2 linked regions of the Callithrix jacchus genome follow. The protein of the gene in region 1 interacts with the protein of each later gene in a pairwise test. Links are inferred from orthologs where the notes say so. Each region holds a gene or a part of one and is shown on either strand. Other genes may lie near its edges.

Region 1 (4,179 bases):
CCCAGCCTCTCATGCACCACCACGCCCAGTTAATTTTTGTATTTTTAGTAGAGACAGGATTTCACCATGTTTGCCAGGCTGGTCTTGAACGCCTGACTTCAGGTGATCCACCTGCCTCGGCCTACCAAAGTGCTGGGATTACAGGCGTGAGCGAGCACACCTGGCATAGTATCTTCATTTTTAGACAGGAGAATAGTCGTCCACAGATACAGAGCCAGTGAGTAGGCTCTTACCCACTCCTGCACTCATCTGCATGAAGAGGATAATTACAGCTCCCAATTCAGGGGAATGCTGTGAGAATCAGGTGTGAGAATGTGTGTGACAGTCTGGTAAGTGGCAGGTGCCCAGTGCAGAGGGGCTGAGGCAGGAAAGACTCACTGCTCTGGGTTCAGTCTATCCCAATTTTTTTTTTTCTTGAGACAGGGTCTCATTCATTCTGTCACCCAGGCTGGAGTGCAGTGAGCTGCAGTCTCAAGCAATCCTCCCACCTCAGCCTCCCAAGTAGCTGGGACTACCAGTGTGTACCACCACATTTGGCTAATTTTTTTTTTTTTTTTTTTTTTTTTGAGACAGAGTCTTGCTGTGTCACCCAGGCCGGAGTGTAGTGTAGTGGCACAATCATGGCTCACTGGAACCTCCACCTCCAGGGATCAAGCGTTTCTCCTGCCTCAGCCTCCCGAGTAGCTGGGACTACAGGTGCCCACCACCGTGCCTAGTTAGTTTTTGTATTGTTAGTAGAGACAGGGTTTCACCATGTTGGCCAGGCTGATCTTGAACTCCTGACCTCAGGTCATCTGCCTGCCTTGGCCTCCCAAAGTGCTGGGATTGCAGGTGTGAGCAACTGTGCCCAGCCTGGCTTTTTAAATTTTTTTTGTAGAGATAGGGTCTCATTAGGTTGCCCAGGGTGGTCTCAAACTCCTGAGCTGAAGCAATCCTCCCACCTCAGCCTCCCAAAGTGGAAATGATAGGCATTCTGGCATGAGAGGCTGTCTCAATTCTAATCTCAGCTCTCAGCCACTTACTGGCTGTGTGAGGGGCAAGTTACTTAACCTTCATGTACCTCCGTTTCCTCATTTTTTATAGTGCTACAGATGAGGATTACAGGATTTCATTGATGCTAAGAAGTACCCTTTAATAGGTCTGAAATATAGTTTAATTGGCAATTTAAAAAATTTTAGTGGGCTAGGCATGGTAGCACACACCCAGCACTTTGGGAGACTGAGGTAGAAGGATCACTTGAGCTCAGGAGTTCCAGGTCACACTAGCCAACACAGTGAGACTTTATTTCTACAAAAAAATTAAAAACTCAGTTGGGTGTGGTGGTGCATGCCTGTGGCCAGGTTGCCTCCCAGCTAGGATCCCAATAGGATCAGTTGAGCCCAGGAGGTTGAGGCTGCAATAGAAAAGTAAAAGAAAGAAAGAAAATGAGTGGCATAAAGTAATGGGGTCTTAAATCCATGAGGTCTTCGATTCTGTGAAATACGGCAAGTGATGTGGCAAGCACCCAGCACGACATCACTGCGACCGTTCTATTAGACAGCTATCTGAGGAGTGGGTTGGGATGGGGCTCAGTGTTCTGGGAGAAGTGGGTTCGAGCTCTGCTGCTGGGCCCTGGGTGTGGGCGACCGGTCGTCCGGGAAGCGCCCCACAAGCCCAGGCAAGTCCCGACAGCGGTAGCCCGATCCCAAGCGCTGCGGGCCCGGCGGCCCAGTGACCCCAGTTCCGGGTCCGAGGCACCGCCGGCGGCATCTCCCGCTCCCGAGGTTGTCCCGGCCCGGGCCAGGAAGGGAGGGGCGCCCCGGGTGACTCAGCCGCCGTGACTCGGCTGCCGTGACTCGGCGGAACGGACGCCCCTGTCGACACGTGCTCTCAGCCCCTCGATAAGAAACAGGCACCTGCAGCCTCCCGGGTACCCCCGGTGGGTAGCGGGCGCCTTTTTTCGGAGGCGAGAGTGGGTCGCGAGAGTCGCCCGCAGCCTGACCCCGCGCAAGTCCCGGAACCTCGCGGTCTCTATTAGCCGCATTCCGCAAAGGGGTCGAGGGCCGGTCTCCGGGGACCTGGCAGGTTCCACTGCCCCGGCCCCCTCGGGCTCCCCTGGCCCAGAAACGACAGGGATTTGGCGACGGAGGAGCGAAGGACAGACAGGCGGACTGACACACGTACGGTCGCAGACGGGGCCGAGACTCCCACCCTGGCTCCGCTGCTCTCCCGACGGATCCCGCCTCCCTCCTTTGTGGGGACGTCTCCGCCCGGGCCCAGACTCCAGAGCCCAGGAATTCAGCCCGAGGCGGAGAGACCCTCCGAGCCGTCTGGGCCGGGCCAACCTAGGCGCCCACGCCCCTTTCGAGGCAGTGGAGACGCAGAAATCAGAGGCAGGCAGGAGGCGAGAAAGCGGGCGCGGAGACGGAGGGACGGACGCGCGCGCCGAGGGAGAAGGAGGCGGCTGGAAGGGAGGCTCGCGGATCTCGGTGCCGCGGGCTGCGCGGCGGGGGAAACTGGCCCCGGACGGCGAAGGGGCAGGATCCTCGCCCCGGCCCCCAGCCCGGCCCAGACTCCTGTTCGCGGCTCCAGTCCCGGAGCGTGCGGGAGCTGACCCCGGCCTCCCACGCGCCGTCCTCCCGGGGACCCCCGGCGTCTGGCCCCACTCACCTGCTGGGCCGCCTGCCCTGAGGCCGGGGGCTGCGCCGGGGAGCAGTACCCGCTGCCGTTCCCGGAGCTCGGGCCGGGTTCCCCGAAGTCTCGGAACATGCCCGGGGCTGGCGGCTCCGTGGGGTCCGCGACTGCTGGGTTCTGACTCACCAGCGCTGTGCGGAGTCTTTTCTTTTTATGAATGAAAAGTTCTAGGGCTGAACCACTGCGACCGCGGGGGGTGGGGGCGTTGCAGCGGCGCGGTCACCTCCAGGCTCCACCCCTGAGACGCGCCGCCGAGGCCCGTCGGTCTCAAACTTGGCGACGCCTCCCCTAGCCCGGCGGCCGCTTTTCCACCGGGTTAGGGACCGGCTCCGCGTCCCCCGGCGGCGGCGGGCCCGCCCCCCTGACGTAGCTGCCCATACATGGTGCAACTTCCTCGCCTCACCCAGGTGGAGCCCGGGGTTACCCCGCGGACTGACGCACCTGCCCGAGCCCGCGCCCCGCCCCAGCCCTCTCGCGGTCTGGGTTGGCCTCCGTTTCTGCTCCCACAAAATAGCACGAAATAATCACGTCTCCAGGAGCCACGCCAATCGCCACCCAAAGCTTCGTGGAGATCTTGCCGTTGGCCTTGTTTTAAGACTTCGAGTATATGAAAAGTGAATAAATGATAAACCAGGGTTACAAAAATGGTGACATATTTTATTTTATTTTACTTTATATTTTTGAGGCAGGGTCTCTGTCTCTCACCCAGGCTGGAGTGCGGTGGCGCGATCTCCACGCACTGCAGCTTCAGCTTCCTGAGCTCAAGGGATCCTCCTGCCTCAGCGCCCTTTCCAAGTCAGTGTGACTACAGGCGCTCACCACCATGCACAGCTAATTTTTATGTTTTTATAGAGATGGGGTCTCGCAGTGTTGCCCAGGCTGGGTGATATATTTTTAATGTTTATGATAAGGTAATGCTTTGAACTAACCACACATATAATGCAATATAATTGTGTCACTCAGGATAATTTCAGGAGCTATGACAACCTTAATTCAGGTGTCCTGAGGTCTGATAAATGCCATCTTCTTTACTGTCAGTGCCTTTCGGAGACTGAGTGGCCACCAGTTTCATCTGGAGATTATGTCAAAGATGAGTGTGAATGTGAGGCCATGGCCAAATGTGCTTGGGAGGCAGGCACCATCCTCATCCCTGTTTTACAGGTGGGGAAACTGAGGCTGGGAGATGCTGAAATGAATTGCTCAAGGTCACTAAGTGAGTAGCTGACACAGGTTGCCAAATCACAGCAGTGGGAGCTCCAAGCCCAGGCTCAGCCAAGATTTTTTAAAGCCCTTACCTTCACAGAAGCCTTGTCGTACATGCGGAATGTTAGTGCTGAGCACCATCCAAAGCTGCTTCTCTGATTTCCTCCATCTAACAGATGAGGAAACTGAGGCCCAGATGCAGTGCTGAGCTGCCAGTTTTCACACGACTACAGAAAGGGGGCTGGGGCCGGGTACGGTGGCTCATGCCTGTAACCCTAGCACTTTGGGAGGCCAAGGCGGGAG
Region 2 (4,013 bases), on another chromosome or scaffold:
CACCATGGGCTCACTTCCTCCCTGACCAGACCATCTCCTGTGCATCCTCCTTCAATGACATGAAAGTGGAATGGGGATGGTGTGGGGTGGGGGGCGGTGGGGAGAAAGGCAGACTTTTCCTTTGTTCTTTTAATTCAGGTGCAGTGGCTACTGGGGAGGATCCAACCAGTGTGGCTATTGCCAGCATCCAGTCAGCTGCCACCTTCCCTGACCCCAACGTCAAGTACGTCTTCCGAACTGAGAATGGGGGCCAGGTAAGGGAGGGGGCCAGGTGGCTGTAGGTGTTATTTGGGGTTGGGATTGAGGGAGGTAATTGAACATGTCTTGGGGTGACCTGGCTTGGAGGATGAGCTGAAAGCATAGATTGTTGCAGGGGAGGGAGGTGCGAATACTGGAGTAGAGACTGGTGTGAGGTTAGATGTATGCTGAAACCTGTGTGTGGAGAAAGAAGGAAGAATGGCTGAATCTGTGTCTCTGAAGGATTCTTGTTTTGGGGCCCTATCCAAGGGAAGCTTTATGAGGGGCCCTAGGATTCCCAGCACTTAATCTGTTCTTCTCTCTTCCCCTCCCTCTGCCTTCCTCTACGCTTCTAGGTGATGTACAGGGTGATCCAGGTGTCTGAAGGGCAGCTGGATGGCCAGACTGAGGGCACTGGTGCCATCAGTGGCTACCCTGCCACTCAATCCATGACCCAGGTACAGGATATTGGTTGGGAGATGACTAGAGTTCTGAGAAGTAAGATGAAGAAGGGAAGCAATAGGATGGGGGTGAAGCTAGGAACAGTGAGGCATCTAGGGCTACCTTGTCCCAAAACACTAGGCTCTCCCTTTCTGGACGTTTTTCTCTCTCTCTGTCTTCTCCACCCTACCCGCTACCCCAAGGGATAGAAGCTGCAAAGTGGTATAGTGGGAAGAAGTTTTTGACTGTTGAATCTGTTCTCTTGCTCCCCTTCCCAGGCAGTGATCCAGGGTGCTTTCACCAGTGATGATGCAGTTGACACAGAGGGGACAGCTGCAGAGACGCACTATACTTACTTCCCCAGCACGGCAGTGGGAGATGGGGCAGGGGGTACCACATCGGGGAGTACAGCTGCTGTTGTTACTACCCAGGGCTCAGAGGCACTGCTGGGGCAGGCGACCCCTCCTGGCACTGGTGAGATATTTCGGGAGGATGCTGGCTGGAAGGGTAGGATAGGCTGTGGGACATGACTGGTAGGCAGTGAGCCTTCACTCATGACTCTTAGTGATCATTAGGACCTGGGCAGGCAGTGAGTCTGGGGATGCTCTTCTTTTAGCATGTTCTTTTTAGAGGGGGGGCCCAGGGTCTTCACCTCAGGGCATGGTGAGGTTCCTACTCATGTCCTGACAGAATCATCCTGTGTCTTCACAGGTCAGTTTTTTGTAATGATGTCACCACAAGAAGTACTGCAGGGAGGAAGCCAGCGCTCAATTGCCCCTAGGACTCACCCTTATTCCCCGTGAGTGACCCTTGTTTCTTCTCAGATTCCATAAGTGGTTTTGTTTGTTTGTTTTTGAGACAGTCTTGCTCTGTCACCCAGGCTAGAGTGCAGTGGTATAATCTCAGCTCACTGTAACCTCTGTCTCCAGGGTTCAAGCAATTCTCATGCCTCAGTCTCCCGAGTCACTGGAACTACAGATGTATACCACCATGCCTGGCTAATTTTTGTATTTTTAGTAGAGACAGGGTTTCACCATGTTGGCAAGGCTTGTCTTGAACTTCCAACCTCAATTGATCCACCTGCCTCAGCCTCCCAAAGTGCTGGGATTACAGGTGTGACACACTTCACCCATCTAGCCTTAAGTGGCCTTAATACCTGCTAAATCGTGTATAATTCTTTAACCCTAAACTCCAATCACGTATTTTATCCTTCTCTTACCCTGGTCACCCTGGGCTCTATTGTCAGGAAGTCAGAAGCTCCTCGGACAACTCGAGATGAGAAACGCAGAGCTCAGCACAATGAAGGTAGGTAAGATCTGTGTGGAGCTAGGAACTGTCTGGTGGGCCTAGGACAGCAGTGATGTCTGAGGGGAGGAGGGGTTAGGTACTTTTACCCTGGGACTTGCAGTGAGTTTTCACGGAGTCACCTTGTCCTCCACTTTGCTCCACAGTGGAGCGCCGCCGCCGAGACAAGATCAACAACTGGATCGTGCAGCTCTCCAAGATCATCCCAGACTGCTCTATGGAGAGCACCAAGTCTGGCCAGGTCATGGAAAGACCCTGGTAGTGGGCAGGATGCCTGAATTCTGTCTCCTGGTATTGTTTCCAGAAATGGTAGAGAGTAGGGCACACATGACCTCTCCCTGAAGTTCCTGTATCCCTGGGAGATACTATACCACCTTTCTTAGGGGAAAATGAGGTCCAAAGTGTGAACCTACTTTTGGAAAGCAAGCTGGGTATCTCAAATCCTAGTCCTCATTTTGTCGGCCTTATCTTGCAGAGTAAAGGTGGGATTCTATCCAAAGCTTGTGATTATATCCAGGAGCTTCGGCAGAGTAACCACCGCTTGTCTGAAGAGCTGCAGGGGCTCGACCAACTGCAGCTGGACAATGACGTGCTTCGACAGCAGGTCAGATGCCCACCCCCAGTGCAGCCCTTCTCAGCTCTACTAGCCACTGACCCAGTTTGACACCCTCTACTTTGTTCTCCATGGAGAGGGCTTCGTCTCTCACCAGTGGATGTCTGAATACATTCAGGGGCTTGGTAGTGCCAGCTTTACTACCCATTCCATTTACTCTCTCCTTCCCATGTCAGGTGGAAGATCTTAAAAACAAGAATCTGCTGCTGCGAGCTCAGTTGCGGCACCACGGATTAGAGGTCGTCATCAAGAATGACAGCAACTAACTATGGGGATCCAGGGGCTTTGGGCCCAAGAACTGCAGATAGCCCAGGAAGCAACAGCCTAATCCCGTGCCCCTTTCCTTCACTGCCCACTTCTGGCAGGGGACTGGGGGGGGTTTCAGAAGGTGTGTCTTTGAACTGAGGCCCTGTGATATGGCAGCCTGCAGTGGTGTGAAACACACAATGTGAACGTGCACTGACAGCCTTGCCCACCCCCACCACGCAGCCCCTGGGCCCTTGCGTTCCTCTCGCACAATGCATGTGCTGCCTCCATGCTGGATACTGGACACACTAAACTGGGGGGCTTGTCCTGTGCTTGCTTAGAGTGCCCAGCAGAGGTCTGCTGACGGGTGATGCTCTGGCTTGCCCCAGGACTCTGGCACTTCCATTGGTTCTTCCTTTCCCTGGAGCTGAGGTTTAGACATGCACCCTGCTGCTCAGGGGAGCAAGCTTACACAAGAAATGGGGGAAGGATGTTTAGCAGTGGCTGGTGCCCATGAAGAGGAGATTGGCCAGCAAGAAGCTGAGGCCTGTGCAGACATCTCTGGAGCCAGGGAGAACTACAGGCAGGGGCCCACTTGGGGCCTTCCCCCTTGTGGGGGTGATTTTTTTTTTCTTTTTTTTTTTTTTTAAAGATAAAACTGTTCAAAGCCACAGTTGTCTGCTTTTCTTCCTTTTGTGGGCCACAGGCTGAAGGGGAGGGGCACATTGCCCTTTGACCAGTATGGGCTGGGGCAAGTTCAGGGTGGGGTGCTGCTCCTGTACTCATTACCCTGCGTCCTGGTTCCTAGCCCAGACCGGTATGTCGTTTATGGCTTACGCTGGAGAATATTAAGGACTCCTGCGGTGGGATGGTGCTAGCGGCGCCGCGAACAGGTGCTGCGGGGGCGGTGCGGGAGGCGGTACCCTTGCTTCCGGATCCGGTCTCAGTGACCGAGATGCTGCGGGTGCTGAGGGGGCGGGCCGGGCCCGCGCTCGGGAGACTACCGGTTGCTGCACACACCATGGCTGGAGGTACCTGTGGGGGATTCCTGGGGCCGAGTTCGGTCCTCGCGGCCCCCTGGATTGAGGCGTGGCGGCAAGGGGGGGTGGGGAGCGAAGGGGCGTAGCCAAGGGGTCCTCGTGCACACCCTACTGCGGAGGGGCGCTGCCAG

What was found. The genes of interacting proteins can lie anywhere in the genome.
Region 2: the proteins of FOSL1 (region 1) and USF1 interact in binary tests that used the Homo sapiens proteins (3 or more experiments, as listed by UniProt). The link is inferred for Callithrix jacchus from reciprocal best matches to the Homo sapiens genes FOSL1 and USF1.

What each region holds. Positions count from the first base shown.
Region 1 is NC_133511.1:122,974,899-122,979,077, forward strand, and holds the start of FOSL1 (fos-related antigen 1), read right to left. Parts: upstream 2,801-4,179; 5' UTR 2,749-2,800; coding exon 2,650-2,748; intron 1-2,649.
Region 2 is NC_133519.1:20,900,196-20,904,208, reverse strand, and holds the end of USF1 (upstream stimulatory factor 1), read left to right. Parts: intron 1-138; coding exon 139-254; intron 255-593; coding exon 594-695; intron 696-956; coding exon 957-1,152; intron 1,153-1,389; coding exon 1,390-1,477; intron 1,478-1,924; coding exon 1,925-1,983; intron 1,984-2,129; coding exon 2,130-2,224; intron 2,225-2,458; coding exon 2,459-2,587; intron 2,588-2,772; coding exon 2,773-2,862; 3' UTR 2,863-3,513; downstream 3,514-4,013. Other genes in the region: TSTD1 (thiosulfate:glutathione sulfurtransferase), read left to right, coding at 3,864-3,873.